5 linked regions of the Canis lupus familiaris genome follow. The protein of the gene in region 1 binds, or shares a complex with, the protein of each later gene. Links are inferred from orthologs where the notes say so. Each region holds a gene or a part of one and is shown in the gene's direction. Other genes may lie near its edges.

The links.
Region 2: the proteins of IRF2BP2 (region 1) and ZBTB16 are in contact, whole or in part, in a crystal structure (PDB 8YTH), measured with the Homo sapiens proteins. The link is inferred for Canis lupus familiaris from reciprocal best matches to the Homo sapiens genes IRF2BP2 and ZBTB16. Residues at the interface, in NP_892017.2 of Homo sapiens: Thr516, His517, Phe518, Val519, Gln520, Pro522, Phe531, Leu557, Trp564, Ala565, Phe566, Met567, Glu570, Thr573, Ile574; in NP_001018011.1 of Homo sapiens: Arg285, Ser287, Val288, Ile289, Thr290, Ser291.
Region 3: the proteins of IRF2BP2 (region 1) and IRF2 are in contact, whole or in part, in a crystal structure (PDB 8YTG), measured with the Homo sapiens proteins. The link is inferred for Canis lupus familiaris from reciprocal best matches to the Homo sapiens genes IRF2BP2 and IRF2. Residues at the interface, in NP_892017.2 of Homo sapiens: His517, Phe518, Val519, Gln520, Pro522, Phe531, Leu557, Trp564, Ala565, Phe566, Met567, Glu570, Thr573, Ile574; in NP_002190.2 of Homo sapiens: Arg331, Ala332, Ser333, Val334, Ile335, Lys336.
Region 4: IRF2BP2 (region 1) and BANP share a complex: the UniProt entries of both Homo sapiens proteins name them as parts of the corepressor complex. The link is inferred for Canis lupus familiaris from reciprocal best matches to the Homo sapiens genes IRF2BP2 and BANP.
Region 5: the proteins of IRF2BP2 (region 1) and VGLL4 are in contact, whole or in part, in a crystal structure (PDB 8YTF), measured with the Homo sapiens proteins. The link is inferred for Canis lupus familiaris from reciprocal best matches to the Homo sapiens genes IRF2BP2 and VGLL4. Residues at the interface, in NP_892017.2 of Homo sapiens: Thr516, His517, Phe518, Val519, Gln520, Pro522, Phe531, Leu557, Trp564, Ala565, Phe566, Met567, Glu570, Thr573, Ile574; in NP_055482.2 of Homo sapiens: Arg161, Ser163, Val164, Ile165, Thr166.

Annotation. Positions count from the first base shown.
Region 1 is NC_049225.1:5,615,641-5,620,062, forward strand, and holds the start of IRF2BP2 (interferon regulatory factor 2-binding protein 2), read left to right. Parts: upstream 1-1,535; 5' UTR 1,536-1,592; coding exon 1,593-2,661; intron 2,662-3,257; coding exon 3,258-3,973; 3' UTR 3,974-4,422. UniProt on the Homo sapiens protein: Acts as a transcriptional corepressor in a IRF2-dependent manner; this repression is not mediated by histone deacetylase activities. Represses the NFAT1-dependent transactivation of NFAT-responsive promoters.
Region 2 is NC_049226.1:19,123,509-19,127,487, reverse strand, and holds part of ZBTB16 (zinc finger and BTB domain-containing protein 16), read left to right. Parts: intron 1-2,535; coding exon 2,536-2,703; intron 2,704-3,979. UniProt on the Homo sapiens protein: Acts as a transcriptional repressor. Transcriptional repression may be mediated through recruitment of histone deacetylases to target promoters. May play a role in myeloid maturation and in the development and/or maintenance of other differentiated tissues.
Region 3 is NC_049237.1:46,981,404-46,986,172, forward strand, and holds the start of IRF2 (interferon regulatory factor 2), read left to right. Parts: upstream 1-1,830; 5' UTR 1,831-1,923; coding exon 1,924-1,974; intron 1,975-2,484; exon of another isoform or gene 2,485-2,778; intron 2,779-4,769. UniProt on the Homo sapiens protein: Specifically binds to the upstream regulatory region of type I IFN and IFN-inducible MHC class I genes (the interferon consensus sequence (ICS)) and represses those genes. Also acts as an activator for several genes including H4 and IL7.
Region 4 is NC_049226.1:65,688,779-65,692,757, reverse strand, and holds part of BANP (protein BANP), read left to right. Parts: coding exon 1-6; intron 7-1,559; coding exon 1,560-1,735; intron 1,736-3,979. UniProt on the Homo sapiens protein: Controls V(D)J recombination during T-cell development by repressing T-cell receptor (TCR) beta enhancer function. Binds to scaffold/matrix attachment region beta (S/MARbeta), an ATC-rich DNA sequence located upstream of the TCR beta enhancer.
Region 5 is NC_049241.1:6,902,818-6,907,243, forward strand, and holds the start of VGLL4 (transcription cofactor vestigial-like protein 4), read left to right. Parts: upstream 1-1,567; 5' UTR 1,568-2,206; coding exon 2,207-2,288; intron 2,289-4,426. UniProt on the Homo sapiens protein: May act as a specific coactivator for the mammalian TEFs.

The DNA of each region.
Region 1 (4,422 bases):
GGGGCGGGGCCTGGAGGCCCACGGCCGGCGGAGGGGGCGGAGCTGCGCAGTGACGCGGCCGCGCTGGCCGTAGACCCCGGATCCCCGGACCCCCGGACCCCCGGACCCCCGGACCCCCGGATCCCCGGAGCGCGCGTTCCTTCAGTGAGGCAGCCCGGGCCAGCCGCGCCGAGTCACGTCCGCGCGGAGCGTGCGCACTGGGCGGCGGCGGCGCACGCGGGCCCGCGGCTCCGCGCCCACGTCACGCGCCCGCCGCGCGGTTCTCCCTAGGGCGGTCGGGTCGGCCGGCGCCGCCGGGAGGCCTCGGTGCCCGCCGTGGGGGCGGGGGGTCCGCCGAGCGGCGTGTGCACGCGCTCCCAGGCGTGGGCAGGGCCAGCCGCCTCTGCTAGTAAAGCTGGAGGGCAGCGCCGGCGCGAGTGTGAAAGCGCTTCGTGGCGCTCGAGTGTAACTCCTTAAAAGCACCAAAACTGTGAACCACGCTAGATTGAAAATCCCCATCCTCAAGAGGCCGACGGCCCCGAATCAGAGCGGCCTTGCTCTTAGAAACACGAGCGGGAAGCCGCGTTCGGCCCAAACGTTCCGGAGGGCAGGGAGGGTGACCGAGTAGTGGAGGCAGCCGAGCGGCCGCAGGGAAGTGAGCCGCCGGGGACACGGCTGGCGGGGCGGGCGGCGCGGGCGGCGCGGAGCCGGCTCTCCCGGCAGCGCCCGTTCTCCCTGCGCAGGGCAGGAGGGGGCGGGGGAGGGCGCGAGCGCGGGGGAGGACGGGCGCGCGCCCGCGCCCGCGCCCGCGCCCGCGCCCGCGCGCGCGAGGGGAGGGGGCCCGCGCAGGCGCGGTGCGAGGCTGTCGAAGAATCAAGTCTGTAGAAGTGGAGCGGCCGCGGCGGCAGCAGCAGCAGCAGCGACGGTGGCGGCGGAGCTGAGGCGGGCTGGGCGCTGACGCGGGTGCTGGAGAGCGGCGACGCCAGGAGCTGTGAGGGAACAGCGGAGCGACCCGGGGCCCGCGCCGCGCCCGTGCTCCACGCCGTCCGGCCGCTGCCTCGGCGCGGCATGACCCGCCGCTCGGGCTGAGCCTGCCCCGGCGGCCGCCCCCCGCCCCCCGCCCCCCCGGCCTCCCCGCCCCCCGCCCTGCACTCCGCGCCGGCCGCCGCCGCGACCTGCTGCGCTCCCCCGCGCCCGCGCGGCCCGTCTTCGCTCCGGTCTGGAGGCCGGCCGCGGCCCCGGCCGAGCTCCCGCCGCCGCCGCCGCCGCCGCCGCCGCCGCCGCCGCCGCGCCCGCCGCGCCGCGCCGCGCCGCCGCCCGCCAGCGCCCGCGCCCGAGCCGGCCGGGGGGACGTGCTGCCGCGGCTGCAGCCCCTCGCCCCGCGCCCGCCGCCCCTCGTGCCCCGGGGGCGCTGCGCGGGCGCCGAGCCTTCGCGGGCTTTGCCGCCGCCGCCGCCGCCTCTGCGGCCGCCGCCGCCGCTGGTGGGAGAGACGCGGGGTTGGGGGGGGCGGAGGGCGCGCGTGGTGCCGGCGGGGAGCGGCGGCGCCCCCTCCTCCGCCTCCGCCTCCGCCTCCTCCTCCGCCTCCACCTCCAGCGCCGCGGGCTCCTCGGACATGGCCGCGGCGGTGGCGGTGGCGGCCGCTTCCCGGCGGCAGTCGTGCTACCTGTGTGACCTGCCCCGCATGCCCTGGGCCATGATCTGGGACTTCACCGAGCCCGTGTGCCGCGGCTGCGTCAACTACGAGGGCGCCGACCGCGTCGAGTTCGTCATCGAGACCGCGCGGCAGCTCAAGCGGGCGCACGGCTGCTTCCCGGAGGGCCGCTCCCCGCCCGGCGCCGCGGCCCCCGCCGCCGCCAAGCCGCCGCCGCTGTCGGCCAAGGACATCCTCCTGCAGCAGCAGCAGCAGCAGCAGCAGCTGGGCCACGGCGGCCCCGAGGCCGCCCCGCGCGCCCCGCAGGCCCTGGAGCGCTACCCGCTGGCGGCCGCCGCCGAGCGGCCCCCGCGCCTCGCCTCCGACTTCGGCGGCAGCCGCCCGGCCGCGGGCCTGGCCCAGCCGCCGACGCCGCAGCCGCCGCCCGTGAACGGCATCCTGGTGCCCAACGGCTTCTCCAAGCTGGAGGAGCCCCCGGAGCTGAACCGCCAGAGCCCGAACCCGCGGCGCGGCCACGCCGTGCCGCCCACCCTGGTGCCGCTCATGAACGGCTCGGCCACGCCGCTGCCCGCCGCGCTCGGCCTCAGCGGCCGCGCCGCCGCCTCGCTGGCCGCCGTGTCCGGGGCCGCGGCCGCCGGCCTGGGCTCGGCGCAGCCCGCCGAACTGAGCTCGCACAAGCGGCCGGCGTCCGTGTCGAGCAGCGCGGCCGCGGAGCACGAGCCGCGCGAGGCGGTGGCCAAGGAGAAGCAGCCGCCGCCGCCGCCGCCGCCGCCCTCGCACCGCGGCGCCGCCGACGGCCTGGCCGGCGCGGCCGGGGCCACCGAGCTGGGAGCCGAGGGCGCGGGCAAAGGCCGCGGGCCCGGGGAGCAGGACTGGGTCAACAGGCCCAAGACCGTGCGAGACACGCTGCTGGCGCTGCACCAGCACGGCCACTCGGGGCCCTTCGAGAGCAAGTTTAAGAAGGAGCCGGCCCTGACTGCAGGCAGGTTGTTGGGTTTCGAGGCCAACGGGGCCAACGGGTCTAAAGCAGGTAGGGGCGGCTGCGGAGTGCGAGGGGACCTAGGGGGCGAGCGGGGGAGCGGAACAGCGGAGGGGGTGCTCTTGCCATTCGCCGCTCAACCCCAGCCCAGAAACAACAAACACCCAACTTCCTGATCTGCCCGAGGCGGAACCAGTGCTTAGTGGCAACGTGTTCATGTGCTGAAGCAGCATAACAGAGATGAGTCAGACTGGGCTGATAGGCACTGACACAGGGTTTTCCTTTCCCAGCACATTCTTGGGTGGGAGCGGGAGGGCACCAGCCACCCTTTACCTTGCTGGGGGCCGTTAGCAATTGAATGCGCGGGTTCCACGTGTAGGTACGGGGCGGACGTGCGTGCGTGCATGTGTAAAAACAGGCTGTCACTGCGGTGCTGCGTTCTGTGGCTTATTTTCAAATACTGCCTGAGAGCCCCGTGAGTCCTAAGTGTTGGGAGTTGCACGTGCACTTGAAACTCCTGAGTGAGATTTTTATATAGGGGCTTGGGGAGAATAGAAATTCTTTAGCGGATCTTGTTTTGTGTTCGTGAAAGAAAGGTCCTTTTCAGTGCACATCCGTTTACTGTTTTCTTTTCTCCCCCTTCTCAGTTGCCAGAACAGCAAGGAAGAGAAAGCCTTCGCCAGAACCAGAAGGTGAAGTCGGCCCCCCTAAGATCAATGGAGAGGCACAGCCATGGCTGTCCACACCCACCGAAGGGCTCAAGATCCCCATTACTCCTACATCCTCTTTTGTGTCTCCACCACCACCCACTGCCTCACCTCATTCCAACCGGACCACACCGCCTGAAGCGGCTCAGAACGGCCAGTCGCCCATGGCAGCCCTGATCTTAGTAGCAGACAATGCAGGGGGCAGTCATGCCTCAAAAGATGCCAACCAGGTTCACTCCACCACCAGGAGGAATAGCAGCAGTCCACCCTCTCCGTCCTCTATGAACCAAAGAAGGCTAGGCCCCAGAGAGGTGGGGGGCCAGGGGGCAGGCAACACAGGAGGACTGGAGCCAGTGCACCCTGCCAGCCTCCCAGACTCTTCTCTGGCAGCCAGCGCCCCTCTATGCTGCACCCTCTGCCACGAGCGGCTGGAGGACACCCACTTTGTGCAGTGCCCGTCTGTCCCTTCGCACAAGTTCTGCTTCCCTTGCTCCAGACAAAGCATCAAACAGCAGGGAGCTAGTGGAGAGGTCTATTGTCCCAGTGGGGAAAAATGCCCTCTTGTGGGCTCCAATGTCCCCTGGGCCTTTATGCAAGGGGAAATTGCAACCATCCTTGCTGGAGATGTGAAAGTGAAAAAAGAGAGAGACTCGTGACTTTCCGGTTTCAGAAAAACCCAATGATTACCCTTAACTAAAACTGCTTGAATTGTGTATATATCTCCATATATATATATATATATATATATATATGTATATATACATATATACATATATATACACACACACACTCATATATATATATATATATATATGTGCATATATATATATATATATATATATCCAAGACAAGGGAAATGTAGACTTCATAAACATGGCTGTATAATTTTGATTTTTTTTTGAATACATTGTGTTTCTATATTTTTTTTTTGACGACAAAAGGTATGTACTTATAAAGGCATTTTCTTCTTTTGTTAATGTTATTAGCATATCTTTGTGCTTTATTATCCTGGTGACAGTTACCGTTCAATGTAGGCTGTGACTTGCGCTGCTTTTTTAGAGCACTTGGCAAATCCGAAATGCTTCTAGCTGTATTTGTATGCACT
Region 2 (3,979 bases), on another chromosome or scaffold:
TCCTTTCCCTGGGCTGACTCTGGAGATTTCCTATTTAAACTCATTTAACATGTGATCCACTTCATAATTAAATTCATAAAAATCTGATCAAACAAACCTCTCTGCTTTAACCCTTTGTTTTTTAAACTCTTAGGGCCCCCCTCTGGAGGGGAAGGCACAGACGGCGGCTCCCTCCCTCCCCGGCCCGCCTCCCCCCCCCCCCCCCCCCCCCCCTCAGTCGGGTGGCTGCCGATGTACGTTTTAATTACCGGCTCTCGTTGGAAGTCTCACGTGGCCCTTGCTTTATTTATTTATTTATATCTTAATGAGGATACTGAATCCTTGATTAAAGTCGTTATCGTTGCCAATTCGGCAAGGAGGGGGAGTCGGATGTCAACGAGGCGCGGGGGGGCGGGGGTGGCGGGGAAGCTGTGTGCAGACGTCTGCACAGAGAGAGTAGCACGCAGTACAGGCCTGCGCAGACTGGCCCTTACTCAGACAGACACACAGCTAGTGAGGACCAGGGTCTGCATAGACCTCTACTCCCCCTGGGTTTGGTGGGGCTGGAGGCTGGGGACCAGGTGGTCTGTATGGCCCTGGCAGGTGCCGGGAAGCCCAGGATTTGGTCTGTCTCCAGACCTGCCCATGCCTCTGAGCCAGCCAGGGCTGTACCCCGTAGCTTGGCGAGAACCCATGTGGAGATGTGGTTCTGCTCTTTCAGCTTCTCCTGTCTGACTCCGCCTGGGAGTGCTCCCAACCACCGCTCTGTGTCTTCAGAGCTTCTTGCAGAGAGAGCGAGCCCGCAGTGAGCAGACCCCAGCATCCACTCCCCACAGAGCCTTAAAAACCCTTCAGCACCATCAGGAGAGATGAGAATTTATGTGGGGACGGGGGCCTGCGTTTGAGAGGGGGGAGGTTTGGTTAGCGGCCTGAGGAGGAGAGAGACAAGAGAGTAAAATATCATTTTAAAGAGGAAGTGAAGGCATAGGCACGCGAGTCTATAACGAGAAGGACAATTTATGCCCAGGCACGAGTGCAGTTTGACATGGGGATAATGAAAAAACGTAGGTCATTGTGGATGACTTAAGCCTTCAGCAGCCGAAGAAAATGTATGAAATGCAGAGGACATTACACGGTTGGCAGCCCCGCACATCTGCAGAGGGACAAGTGAAATACAGTGGGCCATTCTTTACCATAAACTGTGGTTGTTGGAGATGCAGCCCAGAGAAATTGTAATTACAGTGACAAGACGAATCAGCGATATTTAAATATTCATGAACAAAGTCTGGGGTGATCCATCTATCTTTATTGTCTGTGCCTTCACTCCTGTAATAAATAAGTCGCCGAAGGCCTCACCTTTCAGCCCCCAAAGCCTCCACTTTGGGTACAAAGCAAAAGATGGTGGATCCCAGCACCCCACCCTCTCACCCTCCAGGGGGCTAATGGGTGCCACACACAGAAGGGAGGCCGACGGCACCGCTTCCAGGCCTGAGCATCTGCCCTGGGTCGTCCGTGTGCTACGTACCCAGGCAACAAGGATCGACAAGTCTCCCTTCTGACCCTCAAGGTGCTTCCATCCTCAGGGTACAGTGTGCGTGGCAGGAGAGACAGGGCTGTGTGCAACTTAGCCATCTGATAAGTTATCAAGCGTTCAGACTCCAAAACCAGATCTGTATCCTGACTCAGCAGCTTATGAGCTATTTGACCTTAGAGATCAGCTAAGCATCTCATTCTTCTCGTCTATATGGTGAGAATTGTGTGTTTCTTGTCAGGTGGTTGCAGCGATTACATGATAAGATGTGTGTAAGGCTCCCAGCATGGTGGTGAGCCTTCAGCAGGTTAGACCATTCCAATTAAAAATTCCCGTAAAAATGATCCTGCTGCTAAAATAACGCAATGCTAGGTATTTCTTCTCTCTTAGGATAGAAGAAAGCGACTCAGTTTATCTTGGTGGGAGAGGTTGAAGGGAAACTTCCAAACCACGGTAATGTGTGAACTGGGTCTTGAAGGATGAGTAGGAGTTCATTGAAGCAAGGAAAGAGGAAATCAAGCAGAGGGGATAGTTGTTGTAACTGTGGAGCGAGGAGGTAGCACAAGGCATTTGGGGGACAGTGTGTTCTAGTTCCCCAAATTGGAGGGTTTTTTTTTTTGAGGGCAGGAGAGGCAGTTAGGCTACCTATGGGAAAGGAAGAGGGTGGCAGGAGAAGTTGGGGGGCAAGGTGTCAAAGCCCACGGGTCTGCCCTCCCCTTGTGGGGGTCTGCTTTCTGGGGTCAACTGTTCATCCCTGAAACAAATGGGCTTTCTCTTCCTGGGATTGGCCCTTGACCCACAGATGAACTCTAGGGCCCTGTAAAGTATGGACATGTGTGTGCATACAAGCTCCCTGGTTCACACTGGGGCCCAGAGGAGGCCACGGGTCCTTATATGTTTTTGAAGAATGGTGGTGAAGATAGGCAGTCTCATCTTCTCGGTGCATTAAATGTGCCCTGCCGCCTCTTGAAGAGGGGATGGGGGTAGGGGAGACGAGGCTCTGATCCAGCCTTTTGTCCCCACAGGCGACCACCCGTATGAGTGTGAGTTCTGTGGCAGCTGCTTCCGGGATGAGAGCACACTCAAGAGTCATAAACGCATACACACGGGCGAGAAACCCTACGAGTGCAATGGTTGTGGCAAGAAGTTCAGCCTCAAGCACCAGCTGGAGACACACTATAGGGTGCACACAGGTACGGAGGACTGGTGAGGGCACCCCAGCTTGCGCGGGGACCTGGGTATAAGTGGCAGGGGGCAGGTGGTTCTCCAGAGCAGCCTGGGTGGGCATGGTCCCAGGCTGAGACGGAGAGTGGAGCGTGTTCTGGGAAAGGTTAGCACGGCTCAGGCGCCACTGCCCCCTGCAAGGCCGAGGCACACGTTGCTAGTGGATCACAGCACACTTTCCAGGAGCCCAGACCCACCTTCCAGGCAGCCGTACCAATAGTGCATAGATGACTTCGATCTGTGAGCCCTGAATTGGGGTCAGGTTGGCCTGAAGACTAAAAGCAAACGCTGGGCAGGGCTTCTTGTTCCTGGGGGCTAGGGGAGCACTGAGTTAGGTTAGGATGAGGGCTGTGATGCTGGGAGTCAGATCGCAGACAGATATATTCACAGACCCCTCTACCTGTATGATGTTTACCATTTCAGAGGGCCTTCACATTCTTTTTTATGTAAAAGAAATAGGATGGGGGTGTGGGGTCTGAGGACAGAGCAAGGGGAAGTGGCCGTGGTGGCCAGAATTGCCAAACTGGGGGGTGGCGGATGCTGGAGCTGGCCTGCACCAGCTCATGGAAGTCCACCTGCACGTCTCTCCCTGACTCCCAAGTACAGCCACATCACCTCAGACACAGGCAAATGCTACAAAATTGAGCCTTTTTGGAGAGCTAGTTGTTAAACATTTACCAGCAGCACCCTGCTGGTTGCGGCTTTGGGGTGGGGGGGGAGGTGGATATTCAGAAGGACTTCCTATGAGGTAGTGGGAGGTAGTGGAAGGTAGTGGAATCTAGCAAAGTAGGAAGCCTCCTCTGATCATGTGAAACAGCTGTCCTGACCTGGGGACAGAGGATGGGGGGAGAGGTGACCTCAGACAGGTCCTGCTGGCCGAGGGGCGAGGATGCGTCCACAAGCCGCGGGGAGAACAGGGAAGCAGTAAGGAGAGGGAGAGGATGCTGCGTTATGGAGCTCTGCTTTCTTGCCCCCGGCCTGGGCCAGAGGAGAGCCTCAGGTGCTTGTTGCTGACAGCCAGAGTCACTCCGAGCATTTCCCAGAGCCCCAGGGCTTCCTTAGCCCCCTGCTGGGGATGTGACCTGGTGAGCGGATCATTAAATGCATCGGTGGTGACTATTGTAAATAGCGGGTCGATAGTTAGATCACTTTGGCTGTTCATTACTTCATTATTTGCTGGGGCCTCTGCACAGAGGAGTATCGATAGCGAGATGGCTGGCCAGTTAATTACTGTATCGAAACAAG
Region 3 (4,769 bases), on another chromosome or scaffold:
GAGGAGGCCGGCGCCCCCCGCGCCCCCGCGCCCCCGCGCCCCCTGCGCCCCCGGCGCCCCGAGGCTGAGCGCGGCCGGCGGGAGCGTCCCGGCGGCCGACGACAGACTCACGAGCAGCCGCTTGTTGCTCCCGCTGCCGCGACGTGGGGAAGCGAAAATGAAATGGACTTTTCCGAGAAATGATGAAAGCGGCGCCGGGCGCCAATGAGCGGCCGCGGCGAACTTCCGCACCTCCCGGCCCGGCCGCTCGCGCCCTCCCTCCGCCTCCACCTCCCGGTTGCACAAGCTCGAAACAAACACTGGGGAGGAAGGGCGGAGGGAGGAGGGCGGAGGGGGGAGGGCGGAGGGGGGAGGCGAGGGAGGGAGCGAGCAGCGAGGGAGGGAGGGAGGGAGGGAGGGAGGCAGGCAGGGAGGAGGGCGGGGGGTGGGGGGATTTCCAGCCTCTGCGCTTCGCAGTTTCCTCTCCTTGTTTTGCTTTCGATCTGGACTGTTCTCAGGCAAGCTGGGGAGTAACTTTTAGTTTTGCTCCTGCGATTATTCAACTGACGGGCTTTCATTTCCATTTCACACACCCTAGCAACACTTAAACCTTGCGGGATTGTATTGGTAGTGTGAAAAAGCACACTGAGAGGTAACATTTTTCAAATAATAGTTGTGACTGTGCGTGTGTGTTTTTCTCGAGGGCATGTTTGCTGAGCACTGGAGGGGATGTGTGTGTGTGTGTGTGTGTGTGCGTGTGCGTGTGTTGCGCGCGCGTGCTGATGGTTTGACACAGTCGCAGCCGGAAAATGCTGGGGGTTCATAAATATTAATACTGATTTTTGGAGGAGCAGTCGGCGCTCTGATGGATCGTCTGATGTTTAGGGGAAGCAGGTTCTGCTGCTGCTGCTGGGGCTGCTGAGGCTGCTGGGGCTGCTGAGGCTGCAAGGAGGAGGAGGAGGAGGTAGAGAGGGAGGAGGAGGAGGAGGAGGAGGTCGGTGGAGGTTTAATTTCACTTTTGGATTTGCAGATGCGGAGAGGTGGCTCCATGGACACAGACCTGCTCTGTGTGATTCTGCGCCCCAGGTGTTGGGTGTGTGGGCGCAGGTCCGCCGGAGTCGGGCCTCCTTTTAAAACAAAATTCTCGTGTGCGTGCGTGTGTGTGTGTGTGTGCGTGTGCGTGTTTACAGACGCCGTCGCCGCGGGATCCGAAGGAGGGGAGCGGGGCTCGCGGTCTCCGGGCGGCTCCGCCGTGCGCCCCGCTGCCTGCGCCCCGCGCCCCGGGCCCCGGCGAGGGGAAACTTGGTGGGGCGCCCCGCGGCGGGCCCGGGGCACGGTGCTGGGCGGCGGCGGCGGGCGGCGGGTGCCAGCGGGGCCTGGCCGGCGCGCCCGGCTGCCCGGGAGCTGGGCCGCCGCCGCCGCCGCCGCCGCGGGGGGACGCCGCGCCCTCCTTCCCGCCGGCCGGCGCCCGGCCTGGCCCCGGGGCTTTGTCGCCGCGCTGGTCCCGGCGCGCGGGGGGCTCCGGCGGCGCGTCCCGGGAGGGCGCCGCGCCGAGGGGTCACCGCCCCGGCCGCGGCCTAGCGCCCGGCGCCGCCGGGTCCCCGCGGGCGCCCCCGGGCCGGCCTGGCGCGCTGGGCCCGACCCGCCTCGGCCGCGGCGCGGGCGCGGTGGGGGCGGGGAGCCTCCGGGGAGCGAGCGGCGCCCCGCTGGCAGGCGCGGGGGCGGGCGTCCCCCGGGGGTCCGCGGCGCGGGCGGGGCGGGGTGGGGACGCGAGTGCCCGCCCCGCGCCCTCCGACCCCGCTCTGGGCGCCGAGCGGCATTCGCCCGCCGGCCGAACGTGGTTGGTGCGCGGCCGCCACTTCCTCCCCGCCCCGCCGGCCCGGCCCGGCCACCGAGCGGGGCCCGCGGAGCCTCCGCAAGTTCGGGGGAGGAGGGGGGCTGCGGATGCGACCGGGTCCCCCCGCCAGGACGCGCCGGCCCCGGCCCCAGGTCCCGGTACGTTCGCCGCCCTTGCCCTGTTGCAGCGGGAGCGGGGGCGGGGGCGGGGGCGGGAGCTGCGCCCCCTGGCACGGGCAGGCCCGGGCGCACTCCTCGGCAGCCCCGGAGGACAGTCTCTGCAACTTGGGGACATTTTGCCCGCCCCGTCCCTCCTCCGCCTCCTCCCTCCGTGCGGGCGGTGGGTAGTGCTCCGCGTGCAGGGTCACGGAATCCCAAGACGCGGAGTGTCTCCAAAGCTGGAAAAGTGCGGGCGCTCCTGTGCCCCCTGCGCCTCCTGCGCGCCCCCCGACCCCCCGGCCTCCCCTGTTGCAGTGGCTCGGTCTGCTTTTGATGAATGGCTGGGGAGGGTGGAGGATGGTTACATTTCCTGTTGGGGATTTTCAGGAATCACCGAGGCTGCTGTCGAGCCTGCAGTCACTTATCAGGGTTCAGACCGATTGCACACGGCGTGGGGGGCTGGGGGGGGGGGCTAGGAGCCTGCACTTGGTGCTCTCAGGGCAGGTGCAGCGAGGGGCCGCTGGCCGACGTGGTTCCGAGGGCGGGTGGTCTTGGATGCGCGCTCGCCTCCCGGCGCCCGGGGGCCCATCCCTGCCCCACTTCGGGGCGCCCAGCAGATCCAGGATCCAGCAGTTTCCCCAGCGCCCCGTGCTTCCTTTTTTGGAGGGGGCAGCGGTAGAAGTAGGAACCTAGAACGTCCTGGAAAAACTCGACTTTTCTAAGGAGACTTCAGACATGGAATATTGAGAAATGAAACGGGCATTTCTACGGGGTAACCTTGGAACATCTGTTGATCGATAGACGGTAAAGTCCGGAATTTCGCTGCAATCAGTGAACGATTATAATTTATAACTCGGCCTGTTATGTAAGAAGCAAGATTTTCGCTTCTTTAGATTCAGGAGTTCTGTGATGACTTGTAATCGCTTCCTAATATTAAACATTTATATACTTCGTCCTCAGGGAGTTGTCCTTTTTTTTTTTTTTTTTTCCTTTTGATCTTGGAAAGTAAAAGGTAATTTTGCATATTTCAGACTTGACTTACCTGTAAAAATGTCACCGGCATCAAAAGTGAGAGTTTGTAGTTGAATTGGAAGCAAATTATGGCAAAGTAATGGTTGTCCTTAAGTACTGACAGCTCTATGAACTATGGCCCGGCTTTCCTGTGCCTTCTGAAAGACTTTATTAGGCAGATATTCCATATACCAAAGCCAGTTAATAAGGCTGTTAAGCTTACAACTAGTAGTGGAAGATTCGAGACTCTGGATACTTAACTTTTGGTGTGCATCCATTGCTTCAGGTTTGCAAGGACACTGTACTTTTATTCTTAGGATTATCAGATACGAGCTTGGTTGTTTCTAGAACATTTTCACACAATTTCCTTTTGATAGAGAGCAGAACTCTAAATGGGGTATCTGGGACATGGTTCTGTTTTGTGCTATATACCAAAAAGGGTGTAAAGCAGAGGAAGGACTTTATTTATTCATTTAATAAATATTCCTGGGACATTCACTCTGCACCCAGACACAGTGCTAGGCTCTGTGGGTTCTACTCGGAACAGGAAAACAACTTCCTTACCCTCTGGGGAAATTGTATTGTGGTCGGTGAGCTGATAATAGGCAACCGAAAGATAAATAACAGTGATTACCTTCTGGGGTTACTTCTATGGAAGGTGATAATAATACTTAACTGCCTATCTGATAGGGTTGCTTTGGGGAACAGAGGAGAGACTGTGTATGGGAGAAGGTTATAGAAGTTACAGCAGTCTACAAATGTGTAAGGCATTAACTTTCAGAAATCTGTCACTATTATTAATGCGAAAAAGCCAGGAAATCAGGACTATGGATTGATCACTGACTTTCTCTTACAGAATTTTCAGCAAAAAGGGATTTACTTCTTCTGAGAGTATTATGGATAACGGCAAGGAATTAAATACAGAATAGCTATTTTATGTAAAGCATCAAAGAATTTAACAGTGAAATATAATATTGTCAGTGAATTTTTTCTGTCAGAAGTTGGATGGTATCCATGGAGACCAAATGATATGGAAATAACAGTGATACCAGTATACTTTCTGTGTGTGTGTGTGTGTGTGTGTGTGCAAGGATATATATATCTATATATCTGTATATTTATATAAATAAATCTTCTCAGGCTCAATGTCATTTAGTCTGAATTTTCTTACCATTGCTGCAGACTCTGTAATTCATTATCGTTATTACAGATAAGCTCCTAGCTGATGTTAGTATTTTGCTATAGCATCATTAAGGGGACTCGGTTCACTTTCATTTATTGACTGCTGTGTGTGCAGCACTGTGTATGTGAAAAAAATAGTGTATTTTTATAAAATACAACATTTAAAAGTACGTAAGGTACTATAGGCAAATAATGTAAATTGCTGTGAAGTGTCAGTTTTGTTAATAAAATCCGTTCTTTTTGTCTGTATGGGACACCAGGTTCTTCTCAGGTGGGATAGGAGATCAGGGCTTTCTGCCCTTTTGCCCTAGATGTGCCCTGCTTTTGTCCCGAGTGTGATCAATGTCCGGTGCATAATGTTTGCCCCAGGCAGGGTTAAAGGGTGTTTCTTAAGGAGGTGCCTGGCAGGAAAGGAAGTGAGGAAGGTTGAATGAATCTTGATTTTTTTTTTTTCCAACAAAGATTGATAAATTATATGTAGGTTCCAGATTTAAATGTGAAGCCAATATTTTGTATATACCAAGGGAAATATACAAGCAGCAAATTCAGCCCTCGGGCACCTGATGCCAAGCCATAGCTTGGGCTGCCTGCAGCAGGCCCCT
Region 4 (3,979 bases), on another chromosome or scaffold:
TAGCAAGTCAGTAGCCACCACACCAACCCCAGCACCTCTCACTGCCACTGCCACCGCGATGAGTCCCCCCGAGGACCAGTCGACGTTCCACGCGGGGCACGGCCCACGGTTCTGTGTGGTCGGGGCGGTGCCGCGTCCGCCACAGGGGGGTGACTCGGCCGGGGAGACGGCTCTGCTGCGTCCCCCCCCGACCACCACGTGTTCTCACCTGTCTGTCTAGCAGCGTGTCAGGCCAATGCACGGCCTTAGTGTGCTAAGTGATGGAGGCCCTTCAGGGTGACGATGTTTTTCCTCCCACCTTTTTCTCTTGAGACTTTGTAAATGCAACCTTGGTCAGACACGGGAGTGCACAAAAGGCATCATGCGATGATGGAGGCCACCGCGGGTGCCCCTGTGTAGGGCTCTGGGCCCAGCGTGGCCTGGTAACGTGCCCCGAGAGGGCCCCTCTGTTTGTGGCTCCCCTCTGTGTGTTCACAGAGCTCCATTTGGCCTCTTCTCTGGGTCCTGTCTGCAGATCGTTCCTCCCCCAGCTGTGTCCTGTGCCCTTTGTTGTTCTAGCCACTCCTGAGGGCCCCATAGTGCCGCGGCCTGCTGCGCTGGGGGGCAGGAGAAGGCCTGGCTAGATGCTTGGGGGCCAGGGAGCTCTTGCCAGTGGTGAGACACAGGGTCAGGCATGCCAGGGGCTGACCCCGAGCGATTAGGAGCCAGGGCAGCTTGAGCAGGCTGCTGTGAATCGAGTCCAGAAGGTGGAGCCCCCTCCCCGTGGCACAGCCAGGATAGGAAGCATGTTTTGTCTCTGTAAGCAGGGAGGTGGCATTTCTTCCACTTTCTTTGTGCCCACCAGTGCCCGCGAAGGGATGTTGTTGAGGCGGTCTTGGAAGAGCTGCGTAGCATGTCTCCAGGCAATAAATACAGATGCTTTGGGCCTTTTTTGGAGCTGGTGACTTATGTCCTGTTTTCCTGGCAGTATCTTACAGCCCCATATCAGGACCCCTTAGGGTGGTGAAACTGTCCCTTAGGAAGTTCTTGGCTGGCTTTTTAGATCCATTTCAGTGGATTTTGTTGGTGGGAATAGTTGGGAGTGATAATGGCCATTAACAGAGTCTAGTTGCTTCTGGTAGGTCTAAGTAGGGAGTGGATTGGATCAGTGAAAAGTCTCCAGGTTCACTTTCTCTTAATCCAGTCTTTCCTTTGCATAGTCTAAAAAGTTACTCAAATGTCCACGTTTTGCAGGATCACCTCTGTGATCAGAGAGTTGCATTCTAGGCCTTGAGTCACAGTGGGTTGTGATTTTTTTTCTCTTGTGATACAAACATGATTGTAAACTTTGCAATTTCATACGGTTTCTTTCCAACCCCAGACTATTTCGTGCTGCTCAGTTGCTGTTAATCTTGGTAGGGAGAGCTGTATGGGGAGACTTGTGAGCTGCTGCTCCATGCGCAGCTTAGAGTCTCTGATAAATGAAGGTGAGAAGAACATGGCAGTGCCTCAGTGCTAGTGTCTGCTTGTTGCTCATGGCACGCTCACAACATTGGCTGGTGTTTTTGTTTCCCGCTCAGCGCGGTGCCCGGGCGACGACAGAACACCATTGTGGTGAAGGTGCCGGGTCAAGAGGACAGCCACAACGAGGACGGGGAGAGCGGGTCCGAGGCCAGCGACTCCTTTTCCAACTGTGGACAGTCAGGAAGTCAGAACATTGGCAACAACGTCACCCTCATCACCCTCAACTCAGAAGGTGCGCCCGCAAAGCTTCTTTCCTTTGCCTGAGAGGCGGTAGGTACGGCTTCCTGTCCTGTTCTGTGTGTTTGCCGCGGAGGAAAGCAAAGCGGTCAGCCTCACAGTGTTTCAACTTGATGATGGCTCACAACCAATCCATGCTTGGTAGAAACTGTACTTCAAATTTTGAATTGGGGTCTTGTCCCCAGGCTGGCAGCGTGCAGTCTGGTCTTGGTGATGTGAGGTAGCGGCTCCCAATCAGCCCGTAGTCATGCAGTCAGTAGCCACCAGGCCGACCACTGTTCCGCATCCCCTGCAAGCCCTTCTGTTTGCCCCTTTCAGCACTGTGTTCGGTAAGTTCCATGAGCTCTCTCGCACGGTATTTGTGTGACATGATTTTGCCCAGCTATAGGCTAACGTGGATGTTCTGAGCACATCTAGGGTGGGCTGGGCGAACATGTGATACTTGGTAGGTTAGGGGTGTTAGATGAATTTGTGACTTAAGATTTTTTCAACCTATGATAGGTTTCTTGGGACATAGCCCCATCCCCAGTTGAGGAAGATCTGTACATGTTTACTGTTTTTAAAAAGTGGTAGAAGAAAGTGAGAAAAACATAAAATTTCATGTCCAGAGAGCTCTGTAGAATCCTGTGGGCTTTTTCCATGTGAGCATAAACATGGTATGATTCATGGTGTGACACAGACCTCATTCATGCACGTCTAGTCAGCTTCTGGAGGCTTTCTAATGACAGGCATTGTGCTTCTATAACTAGTAGCTGGTCACTGCCTTTGACCATAGGCCTATCCACGTCTCTGTTGAAGACCAGACACAGGTGCTCAGAGGGGATTGTACAACCTTCCACGAGATGTAGAGGGAGCTGCTCTGCTGGCTGGATGTGAGCCTGGACGTGAGCCTCTTTCACCCACACCAGGGCTCCTGTCCCCCCGTCTCTCCTGCCAGGGTCTGATGTATGCTCTCGACTGGCCCTGGTCCCTGCTGCTGGCCTGATGTGCCTCTCAGAGGCTCCCTGCTGCCTGGCACCTTTGCCCTGCCTTTGTGGGCCAACCTCGGCTTCCCACATGGCTTTTCATAGCATGGGGAAGAGGGCAGATTGATGGTTTAGCGCTGTGTTACTGACTTCTAAAGCCTCTTGTTTCATTTACTAGTAAACTTGTCAGGTTTATTGGTTTTATGTCTGAGTTGTTGATTATTACCAGAAGCACAATATCGATTCCTAAAGGCAGTGATGTAGATTTACTGAGCAAAGATTTTCCTGTTAGACAGGTTACCATATCTGAAAGACTGAAGACAGTGTTTTTCTCAAAGTTTTGCTCAATTCTGACATAAATTGCTAGGATTGGGACAGCACAGCAGGAGTGAGGAGAGAATCAGGGTTTAGGGACAGCGTTTTTTAAAAACTTAGATCGAGGGCAGCCCGGGTGGCTCTGTGGTTTAGCGCCGCCTTCAGCCCAGGGGCTGATCCTGGAGACCCGGGACCGAGTCCCACGTCGGGCTCCCTGCATGGAGCCTGCTTCTCCCTCTGCCTGTGTCTCTGCCCCTCTCTCTCTCTCTCTCTTTCTCTGTTTCTCTCATGAATAAATAAATAAAATCTTAAAAAAAAAATAAAATTAAAAAATAGAAACTGAGATCGAATTTAAATACCATAAGGTTGACCATTTTAAATAAGCATCCAATTCAGTGGTTTTTAGTACATTCACATGGTTGTGCAGCCATTGCCCAGGCTAATTCCAGAACATTTCTGTCAGGAAGGAGGCCCTGCTACAGTCACTGGCCATTCTCCCTGGTATTCACCAGTCCACTCTCCATCCCCGGAATTATGTGTTGCAGGCGCTTCACACACGGGGGAGCCGTGTAGAGCACGCCATCCCTTCTGTGGCCAGGTCCTGCTCCATCATGTGGATGCACCACATTTTGTCCACCCATCTGTTCATTTGTCAGTGGACACTTGAAGTGCTTCCAGTTTTTAACTGTGATGACAATGCCTATCTAGGTAGTTTGCGAGAACATGTGTTTTTGTTCCTCTTCGTAGGCACCTGGGAGGGGAATCACTTAGTTTTTTTACACATTAAGTTTGAGGAAGAGAGGGATGCCATCAATCTCAGCTAATGGAGATTTACCATCCATAGTAGAGATGGCATCTGTAACTACGTGTTCTTCCTGTCTGTGCACGTGGATTCTGGGTAGATGCCCACATAGGTCTGGCTGGCCACTCAAAGCTTCATGTTTGTTTGGTTTAAACTG
Region 5 (4,426 bases), on another chromosome or scaffold:
TGTTTGAAATGCAATAATCTAGTGTATTGTGGATGCTATTAGAGCTTTCTTCTGACCTTCCCTGCCAAATACCATTATTTTAATTATAATTGATGATATATATATATATATATATCTTTCTGTACAGCTTATTCAGTATCTAGAATATGTAACCCAATGTTAATAGATACCCTTATAAATGAAAGCTTGTGAAATCTTGATTTTTCTGTTGCCTACTTCACCCGCTGCTATCCAGTGATAGCAGTAGTATTGGGTGTTTTGTTAATCTTCTAATAAGATTTGATTAGAACAATTTGCTGTGAACATCTGTCATCCAAAATGCAACTACTGATGGATTTTAAAAATCCCCTGAAATTATTTATTCAGCTCTGTAGAATATTAAAATTTCAGGTCTTGATCTACAGTATGACACTCCTTGATATTTTCTAAATCTCCAAATAGCATATATTCATATCAATACACAGACACTTCCTGTGGTGAATTATTAGTCAATTTATGGTGCCAAAAGCTAGCTACAGCCTGCTAAGATAAAACAATTTCCTCCCTCTGTTTGCTAGTGTGCTCTTTGTGCGCTTAAAGGCTCTGGACATTCAGTGATGTACTCATCAGTAAACAGCTTTTGGGTACCTACTTGTACTAGATACTGGAGATACGAAGTTTAAGGGTTTTATTTTTTATTTTTTTATTTTTATTTTTTAAAGATTTATTTATTTATTTATGATAGAGAGAGAGAGAGAGAGGCAGAGACACAGGAGGAGGGAGAAGCAGGCTTCATGCCAGGAGCCCGATGTGGGACTCGAACCCGGGACTCCAGGATCGCACCCTGGGCCAAAAAGGCAGGTGCTAAACTGCTGAGCCACCCAGGATCCCCAGTTTAACAGTATAGGAACAGCATAGCAACATGCTACTGGCCCCTAATAAATAGATGAAACAGCTTTCATATGTGCCGAATGAAAATGCCTTTATTCTCCTCATGACCCGTCATTTCAAATAGGCTTTTGGTCTTCCTTGCTTAAACCACTTTCTCTGTTTTCTCTTTTTTCTCTCTTTCCCTCCTTTTTTTCTTTAAGGAAAATTATTAGGGGAAAAAATACCCTAAAAGTAGTTTTACCAACTATTTTGGGGTCCTGGGTCAGTCATTTAATCCCTCTGAGCCTCAGTTTTCTCTGCTGTAAAAAAGTGATACCAAAAAAAAAAAAAAAAAAAAAGTGATACCATCTCCGCCCGGTTCATGTCATGAGGAGCAGGAGAGAAGTTCTATGTAACATTCAGATCAAAATTTGAAACATACAGCCCGAAGTGTAGAAGTGTAAAAGGACATCGTAAACCAATTTTTAAAAGAAACAAAAAACCTTCCAAATAACGCATGGTATATGTACCACGGCAAACGCAGCAGCCTGGGTTCCCGAATCCCCACAGTGAAGACCCAGCCAAGGTTAAATTCTGTGGAAGTTTGCTTCCATGATGGATTTTTTTTTTTTTTACTTTTTTACTCAGCTCCCGAAAAAGAAACTTCCTGGGTTTTCTCTCCCTCCTAGGGTTCTTGCAGTGGCAGGGCTGCTTCCTGTCCAGAGCAGCTCTGCCCCGGCCCCTCTGTTCAGACTCTCCACCTCCTCTTTCTCTTTCTTTCAAGCACTTAATGCATTTAGAGACTGATCTTGTGCAGAAAATATCCCTGACATTTGAGGAGCTGCGGGGCGCAGTGAGCATGCTCCGTGGCCCTCGGCGGGGAGAGGAAGCTCGCTCGCATTCGAGTCATACCGAGCATAGCCAGCATGTCAGCGCGGTTCCCTTGCAGCGGGCTGTGAGGAGGGCGAGCGCGGCTTTGTCCGAGGAAATGTGCTTCGTGGTCTTCGTCTTCACCCCTTTTCTACTGCGAAGAAAGACCTGCAAAGACTTCCGAAACGGTTTTTAAGTGCTCCATCGAGGATACAAAACCTATACTGTCTACAAATAAACCCTCCAAGGGTTTCCGTGTGACTTTGATTTTTTTGGTGGCGTGTTTTTGTTTTCTCTTTTCTTTCTTTCTTTCTTTCTTTTTTTTTTTTTTTACTTTTACATACTTTGTTTTGATCGTCTGAGGCTGGGCCTCGCTGTCTTTGTGAAGTTTGAGAAGAGCCAGGAGCTACTCAGTAATAATTGATTTTTGAAACCTACTCTTTGGGGGCGGAAAGCAAAGAGCTGGTTTTCTGTGCTAGCCCAATAAATGCTATTTATGAAGATGGACCTGTTGAACTACCAGTACTTGGACAAGATGAACAACAATATCGGCATTCTGTGCTACGAAGGTAGAGGTTCTGTTCTAGAAATTGCTCTCCTATTGCTTTTGTTAAGGCCACTCCTCCTTTAGGGTTCTGAATGCCTTCTGTGTATTTTGCTCTCTTTCTTGGGATTTTAGGGTGCTTTGAAAGGCGAGTATTTATTATGCACTATTTTCAATACAAAGTTTGCTGTTTCTATCTTAGCTTTCAGGGTTACAGTGGGGGAGGGAAGGCAGTGAAATATAAACTGTTAAAAGTTTCCCTTTTGCTTGCAACATTAACTCTTCAAAATTTTTAACTCTTGATAATATGATTATTTTTGTTTTCTGCTGGTGCTCTCTTTAGAGGAAGAACTTCTAGGACCAGGAAAAGTTAAACGAGTTGGTCACCTCCCCCACCCCCAGCTCTGATACTTATTTTAAACATACACTATCTACAGTATTCATGTTGTATTCCAGTCAGTGCTTTGGATTTTCATGTAGAGGGGAACAGAAAGTTACAGTGAGTTTTTGTTTTCAGGAGCTATTGTCCCAAACAATGAAGAATTTTTCTATTCAGTTTGGGGGACTGGAAGGGCACCCATGTCACAAAGCACAGACTGGCTCTTTGTCTGATTTCCCATTTCCTGTACTGCTCTAGAGAGTTCTGACATTGAAGGATGTTCCCTCCACACTCCGGTCCCTTGTGGAAGTGATTGCACAACACACCAACCAGAAAGCTAAATTGAAAGAGAGAAAGAAAGAAAGAAACCTACTCAGAATTCTTCTTGTTTATCACCTCCTGCTAAACTGTGAGGTGTTTCCCCACCGCCTTGTAGCATTTCAAGCTGCCCCTGTTGGTAGGAAGAAGAGAAAAAGCGATTTCTTGATCTGTTGGAACATTATCTACGTGCAATTTGAAAAAGTGGAAATGGCCTGGGTTTGAGTGGCCGGAGAGGCATCTGCGGGGGAATTCAGCTTGGCAGGAGGGGCGTTTTTTGTTGTAACCAAATACAAATCGAGGAGGAGACATCTCCTTTCTGATTCAGTAGGAGTTTCCATGTTTTCCCTTAATAGTGAACTGAACGTTTCTTTTGAAAAAGAAAACATTGAGGAAACTTGTATTTTTCATGTAAAATTTCAGGCCTGTTACCTAGTCAGTTGAAAACTTACCCTTTCCCCTTCAAGGAACATAAAATCTCATTCATACTGTTTTTTATTTCACTCAGGATAAGGATCTCATACTTAAAATTTTTTCTAAAAAGTTATACGTATTTAAACTCCTGCTTGTTCCACTAATGAGAATTTTGGTGTTTGCTTTCTTTGAATCTGCTGTTTTTAACTATCGTGTTACTTCTGAAATCACTCATTTTAAAAAAGGCAGACTTCTTCAGGGTGGTGGAAGTAGCGAGTGACTGGGCTCATTTCTTGTGAAATTAATATACTGCAGTTTTTAAAAACATCTTTTTTTTCAGTGATCAAGAAATCACAAAGTCTTAAGGCAATATCTGGTGGCTTGTCTTTGTCATTGTGTAATATGATATTCTCAAACCAAACCAAAACAAAATAAAACATAACGATCCGCTTAAGAGAGGGATAGAGGGATTGCTAGGAAATTGATACCACATTACTTTTTTATGTCTTTAGTTGGGGGTGGTGAGGAAAGGCTTACGGAAAGCTCCACCAGGTTGATTTGTTGTTCTGTAGTCTGTAATATACTTGAGAGTAGTCTGCTTGAAGCTTCCCTCTTTTGGGGGGAGGAAGAAACTTTGATTTTGAAAGTTGAGTAGATATGTAGGATGATTTGCTATAGTTTGTTTGGTTTAAACATCTGCTGCTATTTTCCTTACTACGAAAGTTAACGTTATATTAACACCAAAATAAATACACAGGAAATGAAGAAAAGCACAGCAAAACTTGAGTGGTGTTTTTAGTGGGTTGTTTATGTACTGGTGGTTTTCTTAGTATAAACACTGCACACATCTGCTCTGAACTCAAAAGGGTGTTTTGAGGATGGGCATAAATCTCAGATGGGAATTTTTTTTTTTTTTGGTAAGAAAAGTTGGAACCATTGCTATTTCTTTAAATCCAGTACTTTGGAAATATTCATATTAAACATAGCAGCTCACCAGCATTCCAGGGAAGTTATTTGGAAAATGGAATGTACAGTTGGTGTAGGCAGCATTT